4 linked regions of the Stegostoma tigrinum genome follow. The main gene of each other region encodes a partner of the protein of the gene in region 4 in a complex. Links are inferred from orthologs where the notes say so. Each region holds a gene or a part of one and is shown on either strand. Other genes may lie near its edges. The genes, in order: mks1, tmem107l, tmem231 and b9d1.

What was found.
Region 1: b9d1 (region 4) and mks1 share a complex: the UniProt entries of both Homo sapiens proteins name them as parts of the tectonic-like complex. The link is inferred for Stegostoma tigrinum from reciprocal best matches to the Homo sapiens genes B9D1 and MKS1.
Region 2: b9d1 (region 4) and tmem107l share a complex: the UniProt entries of both Homo sapiens proteins name them as parts of the tectonic-like complex. The link is inferred for Stegostoma tigrinum from reciprocal best matches to the Homo sapiens genes B9D1 and TMEM107.
Region 3: b9d1 (region 4) and tmem231 share a complex: the UniProt entries of both Homo sapiens proteins name them as parts of the tectonic-like complex. The link is inferred for Stegostoma tigrinum from reciprocal best matches to the Homo sapiens genes B9D1 and TMEM231.

What each region holds. Positions count from the first base shown.
Region 1 is NC_081380.1:13,791,002-13,798,175, forward strand, and holds the start of mks1 (Meckel syndrome type 1 protein), read right to left. Parts: upstream 3,014-7,174; 5' UTR 2,267-3,013; coding exon 2,193-2,266; intron 1-2,192. UniProt on the Homo sapiens protein: Component of the tectonic-like complex, a complex localized at the transition zone of primary cilia and acting as a barrier that prevents diffusion of transmembrane proteins between the cilia and plasma membranes.
Region 2 is NC_081385.1:39,294,976-39,302,175, reverse strand, and holds the start of tmem107l (transmembrane protein 107 like), read right to left. Parts: upstream 3,008-7,200; 5' UTR 2,408-3,007; intron 1,784-2,407; exon of another isoform or gene 1,689-1,783; intron 1-1,688. UniProt on the Homo sapiens protein: Plays a role in cilia formation and embryonic patterning. Requires for normal Sonic hedgehog (Shh) signaling in the neural tube and acts in combination with GLI2 and GLI3 to pattern ventral and intermediate neuronal cell types.
Region 3 is NC_081369.1:41,520,823-41,528,487, forward strand, and holds the start of tmem231 (transmembrane protein 231), read right to left. Parts: upstream 3,009-7,665; 5' UTR 2,919-3,008; coding exon 2,780-2,918; intron 1-2,779. UniProt on the Homo sapiens protein: Transmembrane component of the tectonic-like complex, a complex localized at the transition zone of primary cilia and acting as a barrier that prevents diffusion of transmembrane proteins between the cilia and plasma membranes.
Region 4 is NC_081376.1:40,138,509-40,146,411, reverse strand, and holds the start of b9d1 (B9 domain-containing protein 1), read left to right. Parts: upstream 1-4,893; 5' UTR 4,894-4,965; coding exon 4,966-5,028; intron 5,029-5,038; exon of another isoform or gene 5,039-5,125; coding exon of another isoform or gene 5,126-5,173; intron 5,174-6,897; coding exon 6,898-6,966; intron 6,967-7,903. UniProt on the Homo sapiens protein: Component of the tectonic-like complex, a complex localized at the transition zone of primary cilia and acting as a barrier that prevents diffusion of transmembrane proteins between the cilia and plasma membranes.

The sequences.
Region 1 (7,174 bases), on a different chromosome or scaffold from region 4:
GGGAGGTAGGGAGGGGATAGGTCAGTCCAGGGAAGACGGACAGGTCAAGGAGGTGGGATGAGGTTAGTAGGCAGCTGGGGGTGCGGCTTGGTGTGGGAGGAAGGGATGGGTGAGAGGAAGAACCGGTTAGGGAGGCAGAGACAGGTTGGACTGGTTTTGGGATGCAGTGGGTGGGGGGGAAGAGCTGGGCTGGTTGTGTGGTGCAGTGGGGGGAGGGGACGAACTGGGCTGGTTTAGGGATGCAGTAGGGGAAGGGGAGATTTTGAAACTGGTGAAGTCCACATTGATACCATATGGCTGCAGGGTTCCCAGGCAGAATATGAGTTGCTGTTCCTGCAACCTTCGGGTGGCATCATTGTGGCAGTGCAGGAGGCCCATGATGGACATGTCATCTAGAGAATGGGAGGGGGAGTGGAAATGGTTTGCGACTGGGAGGTGCAGTTGTTTGTTGCGAACTGAGCGGAGGTGTTCTGCAAAGCGGTCCCCAAGCCTCCGCTTGGTTTCCCCAATGTAGAATAAGCCGCACCGGGTACAGTGGATGCAGTATACCACATTGGCAGATGTGCAGGTGAACCTCTGCTTAATGTGGAATGTCATCTTGGGGCCTGGGATGGGGGTGAGGGAGGAGGTGTGGGGACAAGTGTAGCATTTCCTGCGGTTGCAGGGGAAGGTGCCGGGTGTGGTGGGGTTGGAGGGCAGTGTGGAGCGAACAAGGGAGTCACAAGGATCCTCCAACACTTCCGCCATTTACAATCCGACCCCACCACCCAAGACATTTTTCCATCCCCTCCCCTGTCTGCTTTCCAGAGAGACCACTCTCTCCGTGACTCCCTTGTTCGCTCCACACTGCCCTCCAACCCCACCACACCCGGCACCTTCCCCTGCAACCGCAGGAAATGCTACACTTGTCCCCACACCTCCTCCCTCACCCCCATCCCAGGCCCCAAGATGACATTCCACATTAAGCAGAGAGTCACCTGTACATCTGCCAATGTGGTATACTGAATCCACTGTACCCGGTGCGGCTTCCTCTACATTGGGGAAACCAAGCGGAGGCTTGGGGACCGCTTTGCAGAACACCTCCGCTCAGTTCGCAACAAACAACTGCACCTCCCAGTCGCAAACCATTTCCACTCCCCCTCCCATTCTCTAGATGACATGTCCATCATGGGCCTCCTGCACTGCCACAATGATGCCACCCGAAGGTTGCAGGAACAGCAACTCATATTCCACCTGGGAACCCTGCAGCCATATGGTATCAATGTGGACTTCACCAGTTTCAAAATCTCCCCTTCCCCTACTGCATCCCTAAACCAGCCCAGTTCATCCCCTCCCCCCACTGCACCACACAACCAGCCCAGCTCTTCCCCCCCACCCACTGCATCCCAAAACCAGTCCAACCTGTCTCTGCCTCCCTAACCAGTTCTTCCTCTCACCCATCCCTTCCTCCCACCCCAAGCCGCACCCCCATCTACCTACTCACCTCATCCCACCTCCTTGACCTGTCCGTCTTCCCTGGACTGACCTATCCCCTCCCTACCTATACTCTCTCCACCTATCTTCTTTACTCTCCATCTTCGGTCCGCCTCCCCCTCTCTCCCTATTTATTCCAGTTCCCTCCCCCCATCCCCTCTCTGATGAAGGGTCTAGGCCCGAAACGTCAGCTTTTGTGCTCCTGAGATGCTGCTTGGCCTGCTGTGTTCATCCAGCCTCACATTTTGTTATCTTTAAAGGACACCAGCTGTGTTTCTGGATTAACAGTCTAGTGATAATACCATTTTTAGGACGAATAACAGAAGTTGCTGGAAAAGCTCAGCAGGTCTGGCAGCATTTGTAAAGAAAGCAAAATCAGAGTTAACGAATGCCCCTTCCTCCTTTTAGGACATCGCCTTCCCATACTGAAACAGCAAAACATTTTCTATTCTTTTATCCTATATATGCCACAGCTGAATGCTCCAACCCACATTAATATGACCTACCACCTCACTCTACACAGTCCTCAGACATTAAACACAATCATTCCCCGTCCCTACATTAATGTCATTTACAACAAAATAATTAATTATTCTCACAATGGGCCCTGACCCTGCGTTTGTCTCACTCCTACTCCTGCCCCCAGGATATGCTATTCTCATTCCACTCCACTCCAAGGGGGAAATAATAAAAAACCCTTCATCCCGCCCCGCCCATACCGGATTCGGAGATTTTTCACCGGGTCGAGGGTCCGGTAAACCGCCTCCACCCGCTCACTGCCGCACTCCGCCATAGCCGCGGTTTCCTTGGTAACGGAGCAGGCCTCAGGCCTCCTGCAGCTCGTGTCGGAGCGGATCCCCGCGTCAGCTCCAGCTGCGGGCTGTGCCCCAGCCCGGCTCAGGCAGCAGCGGTCGTGGCTCTCACGTCTCCCGGTTATCAACTGTACAAACGCTGTAAGTCCCGATAATTCAAGCTGACATTTCCATCACTGTCCCTCTGCAGATGATTATCTGAAAAAGGGTCCAGACCCGAAACGTCAGCTTTCCTGCTCCTCTGATGTCGCTTGACCTGCTCCGTTCATCCAGCTCTACGCCTTGTTACCTCTGCAGACCCTTCTCCTCGTCGACCACCAACTCAAACTGCCGTAACTTGCACAGTCTGTCTCCCCAGAATCGTTCACTCTTTTTGGGTTTGGCCCAATCACATAAGATGCCCTTCTACAAGGGCACCAGCAATTAGCGTTCACATTACAGAAAAGGAAATTTAGCAAACTAAAGGAGAATATTTTCTCTTCAGTGGGTCCAGTGTTCCAACAGTACCCAGGGCAAATTCAACCATACCCATGGCTGTTGGGTGCTATTTGGTAGCAATCATTGCTTGTATAGAATCACACTTGTACTTCATAGTATTTACAGCCCAATCATTTTAAGTCTTTATCTCGATCAAATGCATCCCCCCCCCCTTACTTCATTTCAACTCATCAGTTTAACATCAGTTAACCTGTCTCCCATATGTCAACATACATAATTGGAGGAGTAGGCCACCTGGACTCTTGAACCTGCTCTGTCATTTACTAAGATCATGTGTGATTGCAGTTTAACTCCACACGATTGCTTAAAATGAGCCATTGCACTTTATTAGCTTTATTTATTTCTCCAAAGATACTGCCAAACCTGCTGAGTATGTCCTGAATGTTGTTTTAACATTATCACATTGATTAAAGAATTTTCCCCAAAATTCCTTACTAAATTTATTAGTTTGTCAGCCTCCCAACTCACAAGGCGGTTGCTTGCACTTTGGTGGTCAACTCTGTTAAACATCACTTACTGTGATGCAGAAGTATTACTCCAGCACAGTAGGCTCGTCCATAATCGCTCAAGCCAAACAGCAACACACCAGGGAATTCCTGGAAGCCTGGTATTCTAACCAAACTCCATCAACAAACACATTAGTTTGTACACAGGGTCTAATTCACTGAAAAACACAGCTGGAAGTGGTACCAAACACCCCAACAAACTGAGACATATGAATAACAAGCCAGACAGAAAACCAACACTTCACCAGAGGTGCACTGACGATATTATCTAGCAGGGTGATGATACATTTGCAACCAGCCCACCAGTTCAGCAAGCATGTCTACAACTTCATCCACAACCCAAGATACAGATCTTGTCGAAAAATTTAAACTGTAGTCTCTGCCTTTAAAAACTTGGTTTTCCCTGGGCCCACTTCTAGGCTAGCTGATCTTCCCATTTCTTCTCGCCTCTTCTGCTTTCCCTCTGAATAATCATCCTCAGCACTCAGTGGCTGTCTCCTAATTGCCTACATCAATGTTTGCTGTTTTCATTTGTAAGTATGTTGTTGCAGAGGTATGGACATCCAGCAGATGTTCATACAGTGACTTGGAGATAGTAAAGACTGCAGATGCTGGAAGGGTTTTAACCGGAAACATTGACTTCCCTGCTCCTCAGATGCTGTGCTTTTCGAGCTCCATATTTATTGAGATTAGACTCAATGTCCAGTTTACCACATAAGTCATCATCTATCCAACATCATTACCAAGTCACTACAGATTTTTGGTAATGTGTATATCTATCACAAACCAGGATCTCAGAGTCAGTGATTTTTGTCTTGCCAAGAGATGCTGAGGATACAATTGGGACAGCAGTTCCTCAGCTTTTAACCCTGCCTACCATAAGTAGTCCTGATCTCACTACTATACAGGACTTCATAGAGGTCACAAGCTTAGAAGATTTGCAGTTTGGTGTTGTCAAATTACTCTAGTTTTACGCTATATTTATGAATGGTTATGTTGTATTTATGGCCCTGTATTTTGGATTATTCCACAAGTGAAAATATCTTCTCCACCCCATTAAGCTCCTTTAAAATCTTAGGCCTCAATCCAATCACTTCTGAATCCAGAGAAAAGCTTGTTTAGTCTTCCATGGTAGTTGTAACCTTTCAGTTCTAATGCAAAATAAATCCTACAAGAATACATCTCCAAAAGTTACTTTACACTCCTTTTGCAATAATGGAAACCAGATATTTGCCCAGTATTCCAATATGTGGTCTAAATTTCAATACAAATCTAACACTAATAAGTTAATTAAATACAAAAATATAAGCTCTGAACCTGAATGTTTTATTTGCATTTTTAGAGCTTTGTTAACCAGCACAGTTAATTTTCATGATTTGTGAATTTATACCACATTAACTTATTTTGCAAGATAACTTCCTTATTTTTCCTACCAAACCACAGCACCTTACACCCATCATTTGTCACTTACATGCCCAATCTGCACGTTACCATTTGTTATATTTTATCAGTATAAACAAAACCTCTAATTTGGTGGTAAACATTTATATAAATAATAGATAATAATAGTTGCAAACAGCATTCTGTGGAACACTAGGTTGTCAGTCTGCTCCTTCAGTTCCTAACCTCAATTTAGTCAGGAATCCACTTTGGTCTTTTGAAATCTCAGGTACATTGCACCAAACTGCATTAACCTTGCCTATTGTGTCTATGTGGGGTGGCATATCACATTACAAATCGCAAGTTTAAATTTACCAGATGTATTATAATCACCTAGAATATAAGAAGTCAAAGTATAATAATGCACTTTTTAATGCATTGCAACACTTTATTTTCACAAGCATTTCAAAAAGCAATCTAAATAGTCATTTAGGTTTTACAATATGAAAGGCAACACTTCCGAGGTAAAAAAAGTATTTTTAAACATCATGGTTTGCATCTTTAGCAAATTTCTATCACTGAGGCACGCCAGTGATTTGTTTCTGTCTCCATATTCATGAACAGGAGACAGATTTTGAAGTCAATAACACAGCAAAGGCAATAGGAGAGAATCAGCACTCATTTTATAGTGCTTCACTAAATATCAGAAAATAACTTTCAGTAAGTGCTTTATCCTAAACAGTGGAGTTTGCAAATGGCCATAATACACAAATACTTTAAAAATATACACATGTGCTTATACCAATTGCCAAGGCTGGTGCTTACCATTTGAAAATTTTAAAAGAAAATATAAACATCTAACTGAAAAACTATTGTTTAGAATTTGGGATATCCAATAGAATCAAATTGGTCATTTTGTAAAACTGAATGCTCTATAAGTGGTGTTTCTAAAGTCTGCCACTATGAATAGAGTGCAGTCTAAGCACCATATTCCACCTGACAATGTATATATACCCTTCAAATCATTTCTTTGGAGCGTCATACTGCAAAAGCATGACAAATTATTAACATTCTTTCTCCATGGCTGGGCAAATTTACTTGAGGCAAAAAAAAGCCGGAAATAGCACTTGCAATAAAGTTCAAAGTTTTTCTTAAATTATGAAAGGAATTTAATTACATTTTTGAATCATTTAAAACAGAGTTCAAGTGATTCACAAATTAATTATTAATATTGGCTGCAATGCAAAAAGATGTATCATACACTGAGTGCATGGACTTTCCTTAAGCAATGCCTATTGCCTCTCTGAACTAATACTAATGAAGGCTTTTTATACAGACAACATTTAGAATCCCTCATCAACATTTGTGTTGTCTGAGATTGAAACTCAACTACTTTTCCAAACAAATCAGAACTATCAGTATTTAACTTAACGATACATGTTCCAGTACAACACAAAAATGAATTGTCCATCATATCATAGGAAAATTAATTTACTATAATTCAAACCTTATTTTGAAAAAAAAGTGAGCCTGTTTGAATGCTCCAGAACATTCTGGCTGGTTTCCATTCCATTGCACAAATGCCATAAATACAAAGCAAACTTTACACATGTCCTGGACTAAAAGCAAACAGTAACAAAAATGACAGTTACCTTCAAATAGAGCAAGCTAAGTGGAATAGCAAAGAAAAATATTCAATGTACAAATTGATCAGTCTATTTAGCTCTTTGTATTCAAAAATATAACTCTTATGCATTTTTCTTCAGAAATTACAATCTTTTAATAGGTTTCACATTGTCCTGGCTTCACTTCCATGAAAAGCAAAATCTGTATCAACAAGATAGGTGTCTCCATATTGTAATTAGGAAATCTCTGTTCTTCAGAAACTCTGAAAGAGAACCCAGTGGTTAAAAGATCCACTATATAAAAGGAGCAAGAAGCTAGGTACATAATCTCCACTGGGCTGGGGAATTGGTGGGATGGGGTCTGTGGATGAGATACGGTAAGAGGCCATACTGTAAACATACTTGCCTTTTTCATATAAAGGACATGTCTTTAACACTTTCAAGATCCCCCCCCCAAAAATGAAGCTAAAACATACAAATTATTCACTGGGGCATGTGCTAAAAGTTATAATGTTAGGATTAAGAAGTAGTGAAGTGGAATACAGATGCAATACACAAGGACAAAATACTGAATTAGCCAAAACAACACTATGCAATATGTAACTGAAATTTGGGGTACTTACAACTTCAATTGCTGGATGGAAACAGGCAATAAGCTATTTCACATGTTACCCAACTTTTTTAGTGAAGTTGAAAGAAAAGAAAGGTAGATCAAGCAGGTCTAAAAACAGGTTGCCAACTTACTATAACCTGCTTTTCATTTGGGATATGTGAGAATTAACTAAATTGAGACAGTGAGTAGCTTTACCTTTGAGTTGATCCATGAAAGAGGGAGGGTTACATTAAGAAAAAAACATTTTAAGATAGAATGAGACAAGTA
Region 2 (7,200 bases), on a different chromosome or scaffold from region 4:
CCCAGGATGGACATGTCGTCTAAGGAGTTGGGGGAGGTGTGGGGGGGGGGGGGGGGGGGGGGGGGGGGGTTGGTGAAATGGTTCACGACTGGGAGGTGTAGTTATTTGTTGTGAGCTGAGCATAAGTGTTCCACAAAGCAGTCCCCAAGCCTCCATTTGGTTTCCCCGATGTAGAGGCAGCCAATACGGGAACAGCAGATACAGTATATCACATTAAACAGATGTTCACCTGTTTCTGTTAATGTGTAAAGTCTTCTTAGGGCCTAGGATGGGCGAAGAGGGGGAGGTATAGCAGCAGGTGCAGCACTTGCTTTGGTTGCAGGGAAAAGTGCCGGGGGCGGTGGGGATGGAGGGGAGTGTGGAGCAGACAAGGGAATCACTGAGAGAGTGGTCCCTCCGGAAAGCACATCCTGGTGTGGAGGGAAAAATACCTTTGGTCGTAGAGTTAGATTGCAAATGGTGAAGATGTCGGAGGATGATGCGTTGGATTTGGAGGTTGTTGGGGTGGGACGTGACGACGAGGGGGATTATGTTTTGGCTATTATTGCGATGCGGGTATGAGAGATGAGTTGCAGGAAATGCGGGAGACACGGTCAAGAGCATTTTCAATCACTGTGGAGGGGAAGTTGCGGTTTTTGAAAAAAAGAGGACATCTGGAATGTTCAGGACTGAAATGTCTCATCTCAGGTGCAGATGTGGCAGAGGTGAACGAATTGGGAATAGGGGATGGCCTTTTTACAGGAAGGTGGATGAGAGGAGGAATATTCTAGGTAGTTGTGGGAGTCGGTAGGCTTAAAATGGATATCGATTTCCAGGTGGATGCCAGAGATGGAGATAGAGGTCCAGGATGGAGCGAGACGTGTCAGAGATTGTCCAGGTAAACTTAAGGTTGGGATGGAAGGTGTTAGTGAAGCAGATGAGCTATTCAAGCTCCTTGTGGGAACACGAGGTGGCACTGAAAGTCAATGTAACGGAGGAAGACATGGGGGATAGGGCCAGCGTAGCTTTGGAAGAGGGATTGTTCCACGTACCCTGCAAAGAGGCAGGCATAGCTTGGGCCCATGCGGGTACCCATGGCCACCCCCTTTGTCTGAAGGAAGTGGGAGGAATTAAAGAAGAAGCTGTCGAGGGTGAAGACGAGTTCGGATAAGCGGTTGAGGGCGTCAGCGGAGGGGCACTGATCAGGTGTGCAGAACAGGAAGAAGTGGAGGGCTTTTAGGCCATCAGCATGGGGAATGCAGGTGTGTAGGGACTGGATGTCCAGAGTAAAAATGAGGTATTGGGGACCAGGGAATTGGAAGTTCAGGAGGAGGTGAAGAGCATGGCTGGTGTCACAGACATAGGAGGGAGTTCCTGGACCAAGGGGGAGAAAATGGAATCCAGATAAGTGGAGATAAGTTTGGTTGTTTTTGATCCAAGTTTCTACCACTTAAACTGAACGCTAAATTCTGCCATATTATCAGGGCGATCACTGTTTCCTTGGGAAGTTTTACCCAAATCATTCATTATACACATTACCAGACTTAAAACAGCCTAATACCTGGTTAGATTCACAACATTTTATTCTAGGATACACCGTATGAATTTTTCCTCATTGTCACCCTCTGCTAATTTGATTTTCACAAACCAGAAGAAGATTAATTTACCCACAATTAGAGGGATCCCTAATTTATGAACATCCAACTTACAAACATTCATATTTTAAAAAAGTGACCCCATAAAGGGGTGTAATTTTAAAGATCTGACATATGGAGGGTTGTAAATTATCTGAAGTCACTCAGGGGATATAAAACAATTAACACTTGCAGTAATCCTTCAGCAACCATATCTCTGATGAAGGGTCTAGGCCCGAAATGTCAGCTTTTGTGCTCCTGAGATGCTGCTTGGCCTGCTTTATTATCTTGGATTCTCCAGCATCTGCAGTTCCCATTATCTCTGATAACATCGACCACTCTATTCACAGCTAACAGTATTGCAACAACCTTACTGCCTCCACTGCCCAAAATCCTCCAAAACCAAACTCCTAACTAACATGAACTACTCCTGACTTAACACATTCCTAACCAGCCCTGAGATTCATGGTACACCTTCAACCACCTGACACTCTAGCCCGTGTCCCATTAATATCCGGCCTGCTTCACCTATCTGCCACCCCACTCGTTCCAACTCATACAGTATCCTACCTTACTCATTTGACACCCTACCCCTCCTCTATCTGACATCCTATTCCCTCACCAACCTGGCCCCATCTCTTCTTCACTCATTCTTGAACACACTCATCACCTGTGAATCTACCTTGTCTCCCGCTAACCTTACTACGGCCGCCTACACCCATCCATTTATCTTATCTACCTTTTCTCCGCGATTTTTCAATGCAGCTTTCAGATATGTAAACAAACTAACTTACTAAGATACGATAGTTACTGCCACAAATAGGAGGCAGGTCTAGCTTCTACCGATGATCCGAGAGGCGGAGGGTTCACCTGGATCGAAGTTCTACTACGCATTGCGGAAGCGTTGGGCATGGGAAGTCAGAAACAGTAATACGGGCCGCGGACGCTGGACAGGATAGTCATTGGCAGAGGAAACACTCAATGCTGCTGCTGTTCTCGGAAGAGCCGAGCCTATCGCCGCTGGTGCCTTAAACAAAATGGCGGCAGGTTGCCAAGGTAACCGCGGCTCTTCACACCGCAAAGCCAAAACAGGAGCATAAATAACGACATCATCCTCATTTCCGAATCTCCCTATCCCGCTGGGCAGATCCCCAACACCCCATCTCACCGCCCAGATTCCCAATTCTCCTAATCCTCTGCCAAGTCTCTCTCCGCCTCCGCTTCAGAAACGACGGCCAGCGACTTAACTCTACGCGCTTGCGCACTGGGGTTTCTCCCGCTTTCTAGTCCGCGTGACTATGTTAGAGATAATGGGAACTGCAGATGCTGGAGAATTCCAAGATAATAAAATGTGAGGCTGGATGAACACAGCAGGCCAAGCAGCATCTCAGGAGCACAAAAGCTGACGTTTCGGGCCTAGACCCTTCATCAGAGAGGGGGATGGGGAGAGGGAACTGGAATAAATAGGGAGAGAGGGGGAGGCGGACCGAAGATGGAGAGTAAAGAAGATAGGTGGAGAGAGTATAGGTGGGGAGGTAGGGAGGGGATAGGTCAGTCCAGGGAAGACGGACAGGTCAAGGAGGTGGGATGAGGTTAGTAGGTAGCTGGGGGTGCGGCTTGGGGCTGGAGGAAGGGATGGGTGAGAGGAAGAACCGGTTAGGGAGGCAGATCCAGGGAAGACAGACAGGTCAAGGAGGTGGTTCCCTCTCCCCATCCCCCTCTCTGACGAAGGGTCTAGGCCCGAAACGTCAGCTTTTGTGCTCCTGAGATGCTGCTTGGCCTGCTGTGTTCATCCAGCCTCACATTTTATTATCTCACGTGACTAAGTTGTCTGCTTCGCTTTGCATTCTGGGAAGATACCCACGACATTGACTACTTCAATAATTGAGGCGGAATTGGCCAATACTTCTTGAGCTGTGGAATGACTGGAACTATACCGAAAAGTTAAGATAAACCCCTTAATTCCATTTGCTGTTGTGGAAGTTAACAAAATTTAGGATCGGAACTCGCACAGCGCATAACAGAGTCATAGATTCACCACAATTTTGGAACAAATTACTGCAGATGATGGCAACTGTACTGAAAACAAAAAAATGCGAAAAATCACAGTGGAACAAAACAGAAGTTGCTGGAAAAGCTCAGCAAGCCTGGCAGCATTGTGAAGGAAACATCAGAGTTAACGTTTCAGGTCTGGTGACCCTTCCTCAGAACTGAGCAAGCTCATGTTTAGAGTCTAGGTGAGTTTTCATCATAGCCTTGAAGAGTCATCTAGACTCAAAAAATAGCCTTGCTCTCTCCATGGATGTTGCGCAACACATTGTGAGTCCAGCATTTTTTTTTGTTTGCAGTCATTGATTCAACAGTTCTGAAGAAGGGTCAGCAGACTCGAAACATTGACTCTGTTTTCTTTCCACAGATGATGCCAGACCTGTTGAGTTTCTCCAGAAAATTCTGTTTTTGTCACAGATCCACTTTATTATTCCAGCATAAAATAAACCAATGGCCTCTCAAAGCATTTCACTTATTTCCATTACTATGCACATTATGTGTAGGCAAAGACATTCTTCCTTTTCAATTACTATTCCAAATCCTTAAAAACATTGATTAAACTTGCAGCCACATTCTCAGGCAGCTCATTCCAGATCCCAGTCACTCATTGCATGTAACAGTGTCTCCTCCTGAATGCAAAACCTCATTTGCCAAAATTGCCTTTAAACGTTGCCCTCAAGTTCTATATCTTTCCATCAATAGGATAATCTTCTCCCTGTCTACTTTGTCTAGATTCCCCCAGGAATTTGAATGCCTCTACCAAATCTTCGCTTAAACCTCTCCAAGAAAGAAAAGTCCAGACATCTCCAATCTCTCTCTATAATTGAAGAAGAACCCTTTAAATGATTCATGTGAAACTTTTGTGCACTTCCTCAAATGCCTTTACAGCCTAATGTATGACTCCCATAACTGACTTAGATAAAAGGGACAAAGTCATGGTTTCTAAATTTACTGATGGCACAAAGGTATACAGGAAAGTAAGTAAGTCGGGTATAGGAAGTAAGAAAGCTATGAAGGAATATAGATAGGTTAAGTGAGTGGGAAAATGTCTGGTAAGTGGCAGATAATGTGGGAAATGATTAATTTCAGCAGGAAGAATAAAAAAAAGTATATTAACTAAATTGTGAGAGATCACAGAGTCCTGAGCAACAAAGGGATATGAGTGCTCCAATACATAGGATCGTATAATCCCTACAGTGCAGAGGCAGGCCATCAAGTTCACAGGGACCCTTTGAAGAGAATCCCACCCAGACCCACACTCCCCCACCTCATCCTGGCAACCCTGCTTTTCCCAAGGCTAGTTCACTTAGCTTGCACATCCCTGGACGCTATGGGCAATTTAGCATGCCAATCCACCTAAACTACACAACTTTGGACTTCAGGAGGAAACTGAAGTACCTGGAGGAAGCTCATGTAGACATGGGGAAAATGTGCAAACTCAAATAGACAGTCACCCTAGGCAACTGATTATCATGATTAGCAAAAGGTTAGCACACAACTACAGCAAATAATTAGGAACACTCATAGAATGTTATTATTTATTCCAAGGAAAATTGAGTACAAAAGTAAAGAGGTTATTCTTCAGTTATACAAGACATTGGTGACATCTGGAGTTCTGTTTACATTATTAATCTCCCCATTTGAGGAAGGATATAAGTGTGTTCAAAGAGGTTCAGAGATTGCTTATCAGATTGATAGGTGGATTGAGTGAGTTGTCTCACAAGGAAAAGAGGGCAGTTGATTCTTCTATCCGATGGAGTTCAGAAGAGAGTAAGTTTAGACTTACTTGATTTAAATACAAGGCAATAGGAGAAGAAAGAATAAAGAAGCACAAAATCACTTTGGGTGGTTGGGTGTCAATATTATTGCAGTAAAAATAACACTTCGCAAATATGGTTTCAGAGATAGTAGGAACTGCCGACGCTGGAGAATCTGAGGTAACAAATTGTAGAGCTGGATGAACACAGCAGGTCAAGCAGCATCAGAGGAGCAGGAAAGCATGTTCTACTATTTTAATGTGATCTCTTTCTTCTGTAAAATCCTCTGTGTTGCTGATAGCCAAGCTTGAGGAGACTTACATACAATCACATGGAGTTACAACTAGAGCACTGAAGTGCTAATCTCCATTGCTTTATGAGAGCAACATGTGTAGTTTTGGAGTGTCACTCATTCTATTGGCCCTCTGTATCACTGCATAGATGATTGCTCCTTGCATACTGATGGTTGGTGCTGCAGCCCTCAAGTACTCCAGGATAAATTAAATTAGATGTTCTGGTTCTGAAAACGAGTAAGAGGTCATTGCAGCAAAGTTGCTGGGTATAGTTAACGAAGCATTTTGCACTGAAGTAGGAATCTGTGAACTATTAGGACTAAAGACATGTTTTGAGAAAGAATCTTCAACAATCTAGCCTTAGTACCTTTTGCGCTGGTATATTTTGAGGAAGAGCTTGCTCTGCAACAACCTCAACAAGATGTCTTTCTTTCTCACTCACACACTCTCTCGATCCCCCAATCAGAGTGTCTCTCACACACTCCACCTCTGTCACACACACATTTTCACTGATTCTCTCTCTCTTATAGCACATAGTCACAATCACACAGCCTCTTTCTTCAACACCCCTCACCAACTCACACACAGTCTCCTTTATTTTCACACTCTCTCACTCATGCAATATCTCTATTTTACTTACACACAACAACATGCTATCTTTCAAACACTCATGCTTTCTTTCCTGCTGCAAACCTCACTTTCACCCAGCTTACCACCTTTTGACTACCTCCATTAAGGGACTGGCATCTGCATAGGAAGAAGAGAACCTTATCTTCCTCCTGATTTGCTCCATAACCCAGAATATTTTTCCCTCACAACCACAATTTAGGCTAATATCCCCTCTCCTCCCCCTCAAACAGAAGTTGAATTGTCACTGCTCCCAGTTTGCAGTCATCAGGCTAGATTAAGCTACTAATGTTTGCCTAGCTCACTGTTTTCCCAATTAGAGGTCATTTTCTCTCCCAAATGCACGGCTGGTAGGCTCAATGCCAAACCCATCAGCATCAAATGGGGGAAAAGAAGCAGCCTCTGATTGAACAAGCATCTGCTTTCAGGTTCCTCTGCCTGTACTTCCTGCATATAGAACACCAATGGTTGGTTGATTAAGACCGTTTGGGCAGACTGTATTGTTGTCCATACATCTGCTGTTGAACAAGCCTATTCATTATCCTCCCCACAGTTTATAATTCTTCCAAATTTCCTCTCATCTGCAAATTGTGAAATGGTGTCCTGTACACTAATGTTTATGTCATTAACACATATCTGGAAAAGTGACCGTCTCTGCCAATCAGTGGCCTATTTCTCAGAGCAACAGTAGCGCAGTGTTTAGTACTGCTGCCTCACAGCATTTAGGATTGGGTTCAATTCCAGCCTTAGGCCACCATCTTTATGGAGTTTACATTTCCTCCCTGTGTCTGCCAGGGGATATTCACCAAATAATCAGCATACTCCTCTCAGACTATATAAATGCTGATTTCCCCTTAATTT
Region 3 (7,665 bases), on a different chromosome or scaffold from region 4:
CCAGTGGAATCCTGAAAACATCTCCCAAATAGTATTGTGGGTGTGCCTATCAAAAGAACTGCAGCAGTAACAAAAGCAGCTCATCACTACTTTCTCAAGGGCAACTACGGATAGGTAATGAATGCCGCCCTAGCTGGTGGCTTTCACATTACATTAATGAATAGACACCGAATGTTAAATTCTGTCCTATTGGAGATGGTCATTGCTTGCCACTTGTACTGTGAGATTGTTACTTACCACCTATTAGTTCTAGTCTGCAATGCTGCATATGGGCACAAATTATGAATAATTCTGGACATTTGTTCACTGATGATTGCACGCTCACTTTTAACCCTGTGATGGACAGAAGGTCACTGATGACACAGTGAAGGTGTTTGAGATTAGGACACTAGTCCCGGGAATGAGATGTTTGGCCTCTAACAATTACAACCTTTTCATGTATGACTCCATTCAGTGAAGAGCTTGCTCTCCAGTTCCCACTGTACCCAGTTTTATTCAGGCTCCTTGATGCCTTACTGAGTTGAATGTTGCCTTCATGTGAAAGGCAGTCACTCTCAATTCACTTTAAGTCCAGTTCTTTGTTCATATCTGAATTAAGATTGTAATGACATCAGGAGCTGAGTGGCCTTGGCAGAATCCAAAGTGAACATCAGTGAGCAGATCATTGCTGAACAGGTGCTACCTGACAGCAACAATTAATTACAGCAGCTTTGTTCTTCCCAATATTAGTTGGAGGAAATTTCTCTTCAACATGTACTTTATATCAACCAAGCAGTCTGGGAATTTTTAGACAGCATGAAGGGGTCATGACAGATAGTAGTGGGCTAGAACTGGGTTCAGCAAGCAAACATGCAGAATCTCACACCCTTTTCAAATGTGTCACCAAGTGGCAGCACATGGATAAAAGAAATGAAAAAAGGAGATAGTAAGAACTGCTGATGCTGGAGTCAGAGCAGAAATGCTGGAGTCAGAGCAGAAAAGCTGATGTTTCAGGTCGGGAGCTTTCTTCAGAAATCTGAAGAAGGGCCTTGACGCAAAACGTCAACTTTCCTACTCCTCTGATGCTGGCTGGCCTGCTATGTTCCTCCAGGTCCACACTGTGTTATGAATATTAGGAGACTGGGAACAGGAAGTCATGCAAGTGATTTGCTGGCTATAATTAGATAGCTATAATTGTAACCAGGCAAGTGCAATCCCACAACTGGATGGCATGGAGTGATGTTACTGGGGAATGGCTTGGTCAACCAGACAAAAGATGCAGACCGGTAAAGAAGGACAAGAAGAGATATTTTGCCTATCCATATCCATCTCAATTTCACTAAACATAGCCTATCACTCCCACATTCAGACATTCTGAATGTCAATTTTGAAGACAACAATCTCAATTTCAGGAGATCATTTATTTTACTTTTTAGGGTATCTAGTGGCATAGTGGTCATGGCAGTGGACCAGAGACTCAAGCTAATGCTCTCTTGACCTCATTTTAAATCCTACCATTGGCACTTGGTGGCGTTTAAGTTGAATTCATGAATCTAGAATTAAAAGCTGGTCTTGGGGTGACCATGAAACTATCATTGACTTTGTAAAAGTCAATCTAGTTCACGAATGTTCTTCAAGAAAAGAAATCTGGCATCCTTACCTAGTTTGGTCTACATGCGAATCCCTGATGTGTTTCACTCATAATTGCCCACTGAAAAAGGCTAGCAAGTCACCCAGTTCAAAGACAATAAATGCTGCCCTTGCTAGTAATGTACAGATCCAATGATAGAATTTTACAAAACTGTAAAATGGTTTCCAATGCAGAAGCAAAATGCGTTCAAATTCAGACAACTATTTACAAGCCTCTACCCATTCATGAAAAAATACCAAACAGAACATATAAAAGGGAGCGAGAGTAGCTCAATCATTTATGGGGAATCTTCCATTCCTATTCCACTTTCCTGCAGTTTCCCCATATGTATTAATAACCAAAATCTATTGCCATTTTAACACCACCACATTCCCAAACCGATGTCTCAGGCTTGCTCCAGCAAAGCTCAGAGCAAGCTCGAAGAACAGCATCTTATTTTCTACTTTATCACATGAACTGCCACCATATACAATCCACTTTCAGCCACTAACAGTCTCCATTAGCAGCAATTGATTCTCCCAGGCTGACCTTTACCCATACTTCTGTCTGCCTATCTATTTTTCCCTCAATTTCCATCTCCATCTCCATCTATCATTCACTCCTCACTCCCCACTCCCCACCAAACAACCAAACGTTAAAACCTTTGACTGCAATGAAATTTCACTTCAAATCAGTCCTTCAAATATTCAAACCTCTATTCTGAGGTGGTGATTTTGAACTCCAAACTTGCCAGCAAGGGGAAATCATCTTCCCTGCACTGACCGCATCATATCTCTTTAGGATTTTGTATACTTTAGTGAGATCTCATTCATTTAAATTCTAGTTAACACAGACACAACCTATAAATTATTCTTCTAGGAAAACCCCTCATCCCGGGAATCAGTCTAATTACCCCCTAAAGCAAATATTTACTTTCTTTGCTAAAAAGATCAAAATTACACAAAATTCTCCAGTAATGGTCCCACCAAAGGTTCCATAAATCGTACTATTTCCCTCACAAACATAATACGTCATACAATTAGCTTCATTTACACCAAACCGTAGAAACAACAATAAAAACCACATCACTCAGATTTCTAATTCGAACATATCTAAGAAAGTATTTAAGTAGGCCAATGGTCTGTCAGCAGACTGAATTAAATCTCTTACCATGACTCCTGAAGGCAACCAAAAGCGGCGGGATGTACGTCAGCGCCACGACTATCAATAAGAACAACGTAGCTTTGGTGAAAATGCTTGTTTTGTAACGAATTAAAGACGGGTGCGAATAAACTTCGTAGATGGCCATTGGTAGCCGAGTGTTCCTGGAGAAACCACCACTTCGATTCAAGTTTGGCGTCAGCTTCCCAGGGCAACTGTCGTCAGGCCGCGCGGTGAGAGGCGGGGCTATCGCGACTGATAGCGGTACCGCCCAATCACAGGACGACAGGGTCCGGCCTTCGCCGAGATCCATCCAATCAGAGCTGGAGGGCGATGTCGTTCCCCCCCCCCCGCTCACCCCGACCCGCAAATCTCATTCAGAACTCTGTGATAATGGGAACTGCAGATGCTGGAGAATCCTTGATAATAAAATGTGAGGCTGGATGAACACAGCAGGCCAAGCAGCATCTCAGGAGCACAAAAGCTGACGTTTCGGGCCTAGACCCTTCATCAGAGAGGGGGATGGGGGGAGGGAACTGGAATAAATAGGGAGAGAGGGGGAGGCGGACCAAAGATGGAGAAAAGAAGATAGGAGGAGAGAGTGTAGGTGGGGAGGTAGGGAGGGGATAAGTCAGTCCAGGGAAGACGGACAGGTCAAGGAGGTGGGATGAGGTTAGTAGGTAGGAGATGGAGGTGCAGCTTGGGGTGGGAGGAAGGGATGGGTGAGAGGAAGAACAGGTTAGGGAAGCAGAGATAGGTTGGACTGGTTTTGGGATGCAGTGGATGGAGGGGACGAACTGGGCTGGGATGTGTTGCAGGAAATGCGGGAGACGCGGTCAAGGGCCACTGTGGGGGGAAAGTTGCGGCCCTTGAAGAACTTGGACATCTGGGATGTGCGGGAGTGGAATGCCTCATCGTGGGAGCAGATGCGGCGGAGGTCCTTCAAGGACCGCAAATTCCCCCCCACAGTGGTCGAGAACGCCCTTGACCGCGTCTCCCGCAACACATCCGTCACACCCCGCCCCCGCCACAACCGCCCAAATTGGATCCCCCTCGTTCTCACACACCACCCCACCAACCTCCGGATACAACGCATCATCCTCCGACACTTCCGCCATCTACAATCCGACTCCACCACCCAAGACATTTTTCCATCCCCACCCCTGTCTGCTTTCCGGAGAGACACTCTCTCCGTGACTCCCTTGTTCGCTCCACACTGCCCTCCAACCCCACCACACCCGGCACCTTCCCCTGCAACCACAGGAAATGCTACGCTTGCCCCCACACCTCCTCCATCACCCCTATCCCAGGCCCCAAGATGACTTTCCATGTTAAACAGAGGTTCACCTGCACATCTGCCAATGTGGTATACTGCATCCATTGTACCCGGTGTGGCCTCCTCTACATTGGGGAAACCAAGCAGAGGCTTGGGGTCCGCTTTGCAGAACACCTCCGCTCGGTTCGCAATAAACAACTGCACTCCCAGTCGCAAACCATTTCCACTCCCCCTTCCAGTCTTTAGATGACATGTCCATCATGGGCCTCCTGCACTGCCACAATGATGCCACCCGAAGTTTGCAGGAACAGCAACTCATATTCCGCTTGGGAACCCTGCAGCCCAATGGTATCAAGTGGACTTCACCAGCTTCAAAATCTCCCCTTCCCCCACCGCATCCCAAAACCACCCCAGTTCGTCCCCTCCCCCCACCGCATCCCAAAACCAGCCCAGTTCGTCCCCTCCCCCCACTGCACCACACAACCAGCCCAGCTCGTCCCCTCCCCCCACCTCATCCCAAAACCAGTCCAACCTGTCTCTGCTTCCCTAACCTGTTCTTCCTCTCACCCATCCCTTCCTCCCACCCCAAGCCGCACCTCCATCTCCTACCTACTAACCTCATCCCACCTCCTTGACCTGTCCGTCTTCCCTGGACTGACCTATCCCCTCCCTACCTCCCCACCTATACTCTCCTCTCCACCTATCCTCTTTTCTCTCCATCTTCGGTCCGCCTCCCCCTCTCTCCCTATTTATTCCAGAACCCTCACCCCATCCCCCTCTCTGATGAAGGGTCTAGGCTCGAAACGTCAGCTTTTGTGCTCCTGAAATGCTGCTGGGCCTGCTGTGTTCATCCAGCCTCACATTTTATCATTCAGAACTCTGCTTGATCGTTCTCAGAATCGTAGGTTCGTCCATGCGCTGAGGGAGGCAATTAAGACCGTAATGTCTGTGCTCGCTCTCTGAAAAAACAAATCACTCGAGTGCTAATCCCCACTTGTTCCATGTACAGTTCCTCCTTTTTCAGATAATAAGATTAGATCACATGAAATACAGGGAGAACTAGCCATTTGGATACAGGAACAAAAACAAAGTTGCTGGAAAATCTCAACAGGTCTGGCAGCATCTGTGGAGGAGAAACCAGAGTTAACGTTTCAGGGTCCGGTGACTGTTCTTCAGAACCATTTGGATACAAAGATAATTGGAAGTTGACAAAGTGTGGAGCTGGATGAACACAGCAGGCCAAGCAGCATCTTAGGAGACAGAACTGGTTCAAAGGTATACTACAGAGGGTGGTGGCAAAGTGCTGCTTTTCAGAGTTGGAGTCCCAGTGATGTGCCACAAGGATTAGTGCTGGGTCCATTGCTTTTCATCATTTATATAAATGATTTGGGTGTGAAGATAGTTGGTAGGGTTAGTAAGTTTGCAGATGACACCAAAATTGGAGGTGTAGAGGAAAGTGAATAAGGTTACCTCAGATTACAGCAGGATCTTGATCAGATGGGCCAATGGCCTGAGGAGTGGCAGATGGAATTTAATTTAGATAAAGGTAAGGTGCTGCATTTTGGAAAGGCAAATCAGGGCAGGACTTATATGCTTAATGTAGCCAGTGTTTTCCCCGGGATAGTTGAATCTAAAACTGGAGGGCTTAAGTTTAAGGTGAGAGGGAAAGGATTTAAAAGGGACAACTTTTTTCTCACAGAGGGTGGTGCATATATGGAAATGAGCTGCCAGAGGTAATGGTGGAGGCTGGTACAATTACAACATTTAGAGGGATATAGGCCAAATGCAGGCAAATGGGACCAGATTAATTTAGGATATCTGATCAGCATGGATGAGTTGGACCAAAGGGTCAGTTTCCAAACTGCAGCTCTATGACTCTGTACTTTTTCATTATAACAATCTAAATTGTGCTTGAATGCATCAACTGAACCAGCTCTTTACCATTGTGGCAGCTCACACAACTTTACCTCCAGTTACATGTAAAAGATTGTCTTCAAGTCACCACAAGTTGTCATTTCATCAATCACCAACAATCACAATTGTTCACTTACGGAATTCCATGTCGCTGTTTATTGGTCCTGTGAATTCTTGCATAGCTAATAAATCCAATCCTAGAACTTCCTGTTCTACCACACATTTGGTAGATGTTTTTAGGTGATGGAATTGGTCCTTGGCTTTGAGGTCACTGGCACTTCTTTCTTTAGTTAGTTTCCAGACTTCCTCCCGCTGATGGGTGTTCTCAAAGAATTGTGCCCATTCAAATAGGACCTTCCTCCAAGTCAGTTGCTTCTAAACAAAGGTCCTTCCATACATTGACATATATGATGTATTTCTTGGGGTAAGTCTTCAGGGAGCCTTTGAAATGCTTCCTTTGTCCTCTTCTTGCTCAAGTGCCTTCCTCAAACTGGGCAAAGATGATTTGCTCTGGCAGTCAAAGCTCAGGCATCTTAAGCGAGTGGCAGTCCAAAACAGATGGTTTTTGGATCATCGTGGTCTTGATGCTGGTGTTCTTGCTTCATGGATGCTGATGTTAGTTCACTTGTCCTCCCAGCTGATCAGAGAATCTATCTCAAACAGCATTGATAGTACTTCTCAAGGACCTTGAGTTGGTGTTTATACATTGTTGAAGTTTTGGAGCCAAGTAGAACAGTCAGAAGGATGACTGCATTATACAGAAGGGTTTTAGTATCAGCGCAGATGTCACGGTCATCCATGTCATTGATGTCAGCCATAGATGACAGCTATCTTCCCAGGTGGGGGAAATCTTCCACATTTGGGAGGATTTCTCTGTTGTTCTTAATGGATGGATGGACAAGAACTTGACTTGCGACAGGTGATAAAAGATTTGAGTTATCTTTAGGGTGAGGCTGAAACCAATTCTTCAGTAAGCTTCCGTGAAGGCATTAAGCAAGGATTGAAGATTGTCTTCTGAGAGACTGGAGATGACATTGTCAACCAGTTGAGTTGAAAGTTTTTCATCCACTTATAAACAATTTCCACACCACTGGGAACTTTACTTTTGACAAGATAAAGAATATCACCAGGGATATCAAAGGGACTGTCTTTAGCTAATTACTTGAAATATGTTCTCTCTGGTTCTCAAACTTCTTTTATAGTGCAATTTGATGGCGCATGGGGTTTAGGCTCAAGACAGGTTGGTCAAAGAGAAGGAAAAATCAAGAACTTGTCTTCAGGCTTAGATCTCAAAGCAACACAATTTATTATACTTTTAAATTACATATTGCTATATGTGGTAATCATTGATATACCAGGCTCTGATCTTAGGTAATGTCTAATCGTTTTTCCATCATAAACTCACGAAGATTGATAGCACAGGAAGAGGCCCTCTAAGTCTGCACCAGTCAAAAACAATCACCTATCCATCTTCTCTCCTACCTATCCCCCCGACTCATCTCACTGACCAATCCCCACCACTGCCTACCTACGCTCACCTACCACCATCCAACCTACCTCCCTCGTCTCACCCCTCCTCTCTGTTTATTTCCCAGCTCCCTTCCCCATCCTTATTTCTGAAGTAAGGTCCCAAACCAAAAACATTAACTTTCTTGCTCCTCTGATGCTGCCTGGCCTGCTGTATCCCTCCAGCTCATACTGTGTT
Region 4 (7,903 bases):
TATCCATAAGAGTTTGTATCAATAGACAAAAAAAAAGCTGCCATATGGGGTATTGTCAGCCTGTTCAATTTTTCAGTGGACAATGGAGGACATTTTACAAGGTCTACTCCAGGTCACCATTTATCTAGATGATTTGCTAATAACAGGAAAGTCCAATAAAGAGCACTTACAGAACTTGGACATAGTCCTTAGACATTACACCCATTTGAAGATAAAGTGAGGGTGATCAGAGGTGCTCTGGAGCTTATGTCTTTCCATGTGCTGGTGGATTATTATGGAAAGTTCATACATGACCTGGCCTCCAACCTGGCACCTTTGCATCAATTAGGGTGAGGCAATGACATAGCGTTGTTATCACTGGACTGTTAATCTAGAGACGCAAATAATGTTCTGGGGACCCAGGTTCGAATCCTGCTATGGCAGCTGGTGGAATTTGAATTCAATAAATATCCTGAATTAAGAATCTAATGATGATGGTGAATCCATTGTCGGTTGTCAAAAAAATGCATCTGGTTCACTGATACTGTTTAGGGAAGGAAACTACCATCCCTACCTGGTCTGGCTTGCATGTGACTCCAGACCCACAGCAATGTGTCAGAGATAGTAGGAACTGTAAATGCTGGAGATTCCAAGATATACCAGGTGTAGAGCTGGATGAACACAGCAGGCCAAGCAGCATCAGAGGAGCAGGAACGCTGACGTTTCAGGCCTAGGCCCTTCTTCAGAAATTTCTGAAGAAGGGTCTAGGCATGAAGCATCAGCCTTTCTGCTCCTCTGATGCTGCTTGGCCTGCTGTGTTCATCCAGCTCTATACTTTGTATACCCCACAGCAATGTGGTTGAATTGTAACTGCCGTCTGAGCAATTAAGGATGGGCAATAAATGCTGACTAGCCAATGATGTCCTCATCCCGTGAATGAATAAAGAAAAAAACACTCTGACAAGAGTCAGCCTTGCAAATGGTGATGTAGCCAAGACTTGGCTTTCAGGAAAGTGAAGAAATAGCTGTCATCCTTTATGTTGTTGGCACACTAGGATCCCAAATGAGATCTGGTATTGACATGTGATGCCTCCCTGTATATGGCATCAGGGTAGAATTAGTTCGTGCGTGAAATGATGGAGAGGAATGCCCAATAGCGTATGCATGCAGGAACTCGGTTAATGCAGACTGTAAGTATGCCCAGATAGGGAAAGAAGGTTTGGTGGTCATGTGTGGAGTCAGGAAGTTCTATTAATACCTTTACGAACATAAATTTGTAATAATAACAGACTACAAACTCCCACTAGGTTTACATATAGAGTACAAGACAGTGCTGCCCATAGCTTCAGACTCAATTTAGTGGTGGACTTTAAAAATGAGTCTGTATGATTACAACTTGGAATACTGTCTGGGATGTCATGTAACAAGTGCGGATGCATTGAGCCGCCTCCTGCTGGCAGATACACCACCAGTGGTGCCATCACTGGAACAATCTGTAATGGTTTTAAATATTTTGGACACGCTTCCAGTCACAGCTGACAATATCAGACTTGGGACACAAAACAAATCTGGTCCTGACAAAACTGAAACAGCTAGTACTGATGGGGGAAGCCAAAGGTCCATTACAACCAGTATTGAAATCTTTTTGGACTTGGAGAGACCAGATCACAGGAGATGACACATATTATTATGAGGAGCAAGAATGATTGTCCTGAGCAAAGGTTGCCATCAGATACTGGCTGAACTCCACTAGTGTCATTCAGGGGTTTCCAAAATGAAAATGTGGGTGAGGAGTTATATCTGGTGGCCAGGATTTAAGGCAAATATAGCTGCATTGGTTGGGTAGTACCTAGAGTGCCACAAGGACAAAAACTACCACCAACACCTCTCAAACATTCATGGTAATGGCTGGGTAAGCCCTGGACTTGATTTCTGTTGACTATGCAAGTCTTTCCATGGGCTCAATGTTCTCAGTCATTTTGGATGCCCACTCAAATGTGCATAGAGTTAGTTAATTAAACATGGGGATGATGATAAAAAAAACTGCGCACATCTTTTGCAATACATGGACTGCCAGAAGCATTGGCCACAGAAAACTGACCATTGTTTACCAGCAGGTATTGAGTATGTCCTCAAGTTGACTAGCATTCAACATATAAGGACAGCTTCATACCATCCATGATCCAATGGTCTAGCAAAAAGAGCACTCCAAACTTTGAAGGCAAGCTTAAAGAAACAGCCTACACCTTTATTAGATATCAAATAATAATAGTCCCCAGTAGTAGCTATTCAGTTTCCTAGGTTGATTGTTTTACACTCCTTTGTCTGCCCAGTTGTTCTTCTCTCTGTCTAGGCTCTATCTGGGTATATGAATAGTAAGGGTTTAGAGAGATGTGGGCCAAATGCTGACAAATGGTACTAGGTCAGGTTCAGATGCCTGGTCAGTGCAGATTGGTTGGGCAGAAGGGTCTGTTTCAGTGTTGTGCGAGTCTATGACTCTATAACTAATGGAAAAAAAAGTGTGTTACTGTCCACTGCCCTCCCCATCCATAGGATGTCCCAAAATGCTATAACCACTCCAGTGCATTCACTGTTGCAATAAGGAAAATGTAGCACTCAGTTTGTACCCAATTAACTCCCAAAATGTGACCAATGTCATAATGACCAGCAAATCTGCTATAGTGATATTGATTAAGTCAGTCAATGATTCAACCTTAAGGCCCATCTCAGCATTAGTTTTGGAATTATAATGCTACCCTTAAACACACAGCATCCAGTCATCAAATTACAATTTATCCAATACATTCATACACATGCTTCCCTTAGTCACATTCAATATTTTGGCTGTTTAGTTCAAATTTTAATGGCTGGGTTGAATGTTTCTTTTGTTGTACAAGATAGTGGTTTTGAAAGATTTATTGATGAGGTTCATCCCAATCTGACGATATCACACAGTCTGAATAGAGAATAGGCAATTTACGAGGTCCCTATTTAGACTGCTGTGCCACCTGCAGCTCCTGAAAGCCTTTGTAATTATGCTTACCAAATCAAGATAAATTACACTAATGGTATCATGCAATTAACTATATCTTATTGTTCAGACAAGATGGGCAAAACAAGGATGACGGGATTCAGAATCTTGGCGAACACAGTTCTTAAGATACACGATTGCTTCAAAATTAAATAACAGATCTCAAGCTGAACGAACAAGTACACTATTCTATTCAGAAGGCCCAACAGCTGATGATGTTAAAAATAATCAAATCTAATTTAAGGGACAGATACCGTTGAGAAGTTCTAATGCCTTTAATACCTATAATTACTTTAATCTGAGAACAAATTCCAATGTTTGACAAAAAGGTTCAGCATGCAGGAGAATCCGTTAACAATTTTATTATGATCTCTATAGATTAGTGGAAAACTGGCTGCGGAGCATTGAAATCTGAATTCATAAGAAACAGAATTGTTGTTGGAATTATTGATGAGTCTTTGTCAGATTTATTATAATCGAAAGAAGATTTGACTGTGAATAAAGCTATTCAAATTGTGTTGGAAGCAGAAATCAGGAAGGGTTTATTGATATAATATAAGAGAACAGGAAAACCTTGCCATCGGAGACCAACAAAGTCTAATTTAAGAAGTATGAACACTCTACAGACAGACGTGACAAATAAACACAAAATGTACACTAACAGCAAATACTGTGAGTCACTATCTGTATGGTGGAACAAAAAACCTCATGAGCGTGTCTAGCTAAAATGAAAGAATGCTACATTTGTAAAACTGTTAATTGCTTCCAGAAAATGTGCAGAAGTAGGATACAGTTGGAAAGCAGCAAAAAGCCAATGCTTACTCGCACAAACAGCTTCATATTTTAGAACCTCCTTTTTCAAAATGATACTCTTGTTTGACAATGTACCTGATTGATTAGAAGAGATGCATTCCTATGTGAAATTGGTGATTCAACTGACCCACATTGGCATGCTGCATGTTCATGGATATCCATCAATTTTAAAGTTTATAAAGGTGTGACTGTCACTCATATTATTGCTGAAGAAACAGCAGGTACAGATACTGAGATGAAACTACATGATGCAAGTGAAATAACTGTAAAGCATGAAGGTATTCTAGAAGTAACACTGCATAAAGAAGCATATGATAATTGAAAATATTTATGTTATTCACAAGCCTCACTTTTAAGTCATTACAGTATCTTAATCTGAACATCCTTGCAGTAACTGAAGGACTTCAACTAATTCCAAAAGAACAACTGTAGAAAAACAACCTTGTTGAAGAACTCTAAATTCATGATGGAATTCAAAAGGACAAAGAATCCATTGAGATCACAGATGTTGACATAGGAGGTTTTTTCATACTGTCAACAGGAAGGAAGCCACTGTCTTTACATGGGTTGTGGGGATTTTAAAAATTTCTATAATGACTGAAGAGCTATTGGATGACCAACCTTAGAAACATTTGTCAGAAGAAACAAATACTGAAAACAAGAATTTGTGGTACAATCTAGTTGAGCTTATTCATTAACCTTTAATGGATGCGCATAAAGCAAAACAACACACTGGACAAATTTACAAGACAACTTTGCCTTTATTGCTCGATGACGATGAAAACAGAAACTCAAGAGCAGCATTTCAATCCTGTACACTGCAAGGAACCAAGTACTTGTTTCAACAGAGCAGCTGTCTTCGTTAGCACAACGGTCTAAAAAGGTGATAGTTCATTTTTCACATTTAAGAATTTAGCAAATATGATAGGGTTAGGGTTTTAAGAATGATTGACCTTAATTTTTTTGACTGCTCCAGATTTGCAGCATGCACGTTCGGAAAAATGAGTTAGAGGTTCCGGCATTGGGGCTGGAATTCAGCTGCTGCCAATCACATGCCGCGCAGGCGCAAAGACAGTGACGGGCGTCGTCCTGGAGATGGTGAGGCTGGGAGTCGGTGGGATAAACACGTAAGATTGAGAAACATGCTGTCCGGAAAACCGTCTGTGTTCCTTTTAATGGTCAACGGGCAGATCGAAAGCGCTGATGTAAGCATTGCTTTTATTCAATGTAAGAGGGATGTTATGCCCTGAGTGTTTCGCCTGTATGATCCAGTTTCTATCCTGAAACTCAGTCTGGATGTGAATGTGTCCCGGGCCTGCTGGCGGCAATCCCCTCGGCAACCAACCCATAGTAAGTGCGCTTTAGAATCCTTGTGGCGAGTTGCAAAGAGTATCCTTTATTAGTTACCAATTTCAAAGAATATCCGTTCGTTACTTTGTAAACCAGCTATTATAGTACATGCAATGCAGAGCTCAAGTTCTGAACGCCTCCCTTAGACTAAGGGAGAAACATTTAGTGTGGGTATCTGGTGTATCTGCCAAGGGATCATTTTTGGTAGTCGGAATAACATCTTAACTGCCGCATTTCCTGATCAACACATTCGCAAACAGATGGTCCGCACTTCGCCATCACCCTCTCTTGCAGACTTGGTTCCAGTTAAACCATCGAAGAAACGAAAAATAATGCAAATGCTGGAGTTTTTCTCTTCCCCCGAGGCTACCAGACGTGCTGAGTATATTCAGAATTTTCTGTTTTTATCCCACTTAATCAACATCTCCTTGTTTTCAAATCCCTCCATATTGGGTTTTTCTCCTATTTAAATAATTTCTTCCAGCTCGTCTTATAGGAACTCTGCTTTCATTCTGGGGTCTTGAGCTTGTCTTATTTTAATAACATCATCACTGTGGTCACGTATTCCACTGTGTAAGTCCTTAACCCTGAAAGATTTCCTCACTGCCCCCGCTCCCCCTCCCCATTCTGCAGTTCCTTCTTTTAAACTTGCCTGTTGAGTAAACTTTTGTTCACCTGCCTTAATACCTCCTTATAAAAAATGAACATTCACTGAATTTGAATTAAAACATTTTGGGAGAGCTTTCCAGTTTATTCAAAGAATGCATTACCAATTATAGATTAGAGAAGAGGGTGATAACATTCGGAGTTTTTAATATGGTCTCACTCCAATGACTGTGCTGCTGTCAAAACAGACTCTAGGAAGAACAGTTATAATGTTGATATGAAGGTGAACCCTAGAAAAGATTAGTACTGTAACAAAATGGCCTTGAAGTCAACTCTTTTGAGTCAAAGTTTAAGTTCAGACCTATATTTGCCATTTTTTTTTTAGCTAATAAGTGCATGTTTAGTACTTTGTTTTGCATTAGGAGCAAGGCTCAGTTTTCAGCTCAGAAATACAAATTAAGGTTCTACCAGCCGAAACATCAAAGTATAGGACCAAGCAGGCAAAATGGAGTGTGTTACCATGAATGTGCATGGGAGTTTAAGACACTCTAACACAGACCTCATGTGGCAACAGACCAACAGAAATGTGCCTTCCTGCACTAACCCATATGCTTAATTTATATGTTTAAGTTGACCCCTGTTGTAAGGATGTTTTGATCCCTCAAACATTGACTGACTGCACTGAAATTGTAGTAGCCAGATTGCAACAAAACTGTTTATTCTCCAAATAATATTCAGCCCTTCAGATATAAACTGTTGTTTCAACCCAGGAGAAAGTTATTTCTAATTATTGTCTCATTATATGACAGTGAATAAGTCGCAATGCCAGACTTCTAACAAAATTTGTATTTCTATCTGTATGTTGCAGTTTTGTAACTTTCTCCTGGTTGAAAATTTTGATTCTGTTAAAGCCTTCATGAGATAAAGACTCAAATTCCTGCATGCTGTTAACTGATGTTATAAAAATACTAATTTGATTGCAGATATTTTGTGGGTCTCTGATTTCAAAACATACTAATCTCACCAATATTGAATGTGAAACTTTAAAACCAAGCATATCAGCATTTGAAAAGTTTTGCAATTTTTATTCATTTTAATTCAAATTATTTTTTCCCCAGTTTCCAGAGTTTGATGAGCTGTATTGCAAATACTCCTATGTGTATGGACATGACTGGGCTCCAACAACAGTAAGTGTTGATGTTAGTTCGTTCAGCTCATTGTGGGATAAACATTTAATCCTATAATAATTAATAAATGACTACAAGCTTAGTTACAATGACAGTCTGAATTCTGTGCTTTTCCAATGTAATATAATTTGAATTCTTGGATATCCTTGGATATTGAGTCATTCCAGAATTACAGCTGCCTTGTAGCACTATTCTTATGTTATAGGAGCTAATTAAAATCATAAATTTAAATGAAATGTCACCTCAGTGGTGATGCACTCTTAATGATGTCATTATAAACTACTGAACTCCTTAATGATTGTGCTATTTTTGTTAATCCAAATATTTATTGTAAGAATACTTCTAAATGAAATAAATTGCTTGAGGTTTTTTTGTTGCTAGATAAATAACCCCAGAAACTACACCCCTAGCCTATCTAATTTAAATAAATTGTTAATAAGATTGTGAAGTAGTGTGCTTTTTGTTGATTTTCAACAGTTTCTATACACTGTGTTGTGTACAAAATGTTCTTTTGTAGAAAATAAATTTTAGAAATGTTGTTTTGAAATAATTGAATGGTTTAGGACACTTTCCTGACATTTACAATAACTAAGTCTGTTATGTCTTTTAGCTAATGAGATAGCTTTTTGCATTGTAGACAAATTATCATTCAGAAAGATCATAAATTGACACTCTACAGGTGTAACTAGACTCTCAGTAAAGTGTAGGGGTTAATACATGAAATTTTCATGCCACATCTTTTGGTCTGTAAGAAACAAATAGAACTACAGATTTATGTGGTACACCAAAATTTCCTGAGAATTTTATTACCATGAGAATGACACTGACTGAAAGAAACTTAATTTTACAGGTGAAGATTGGAATTGGAATAAAAACCTCTCTTTGCATATCATCTACATTGTATTTTAATATTTAGTACACATTTTTCTTCTCGAAG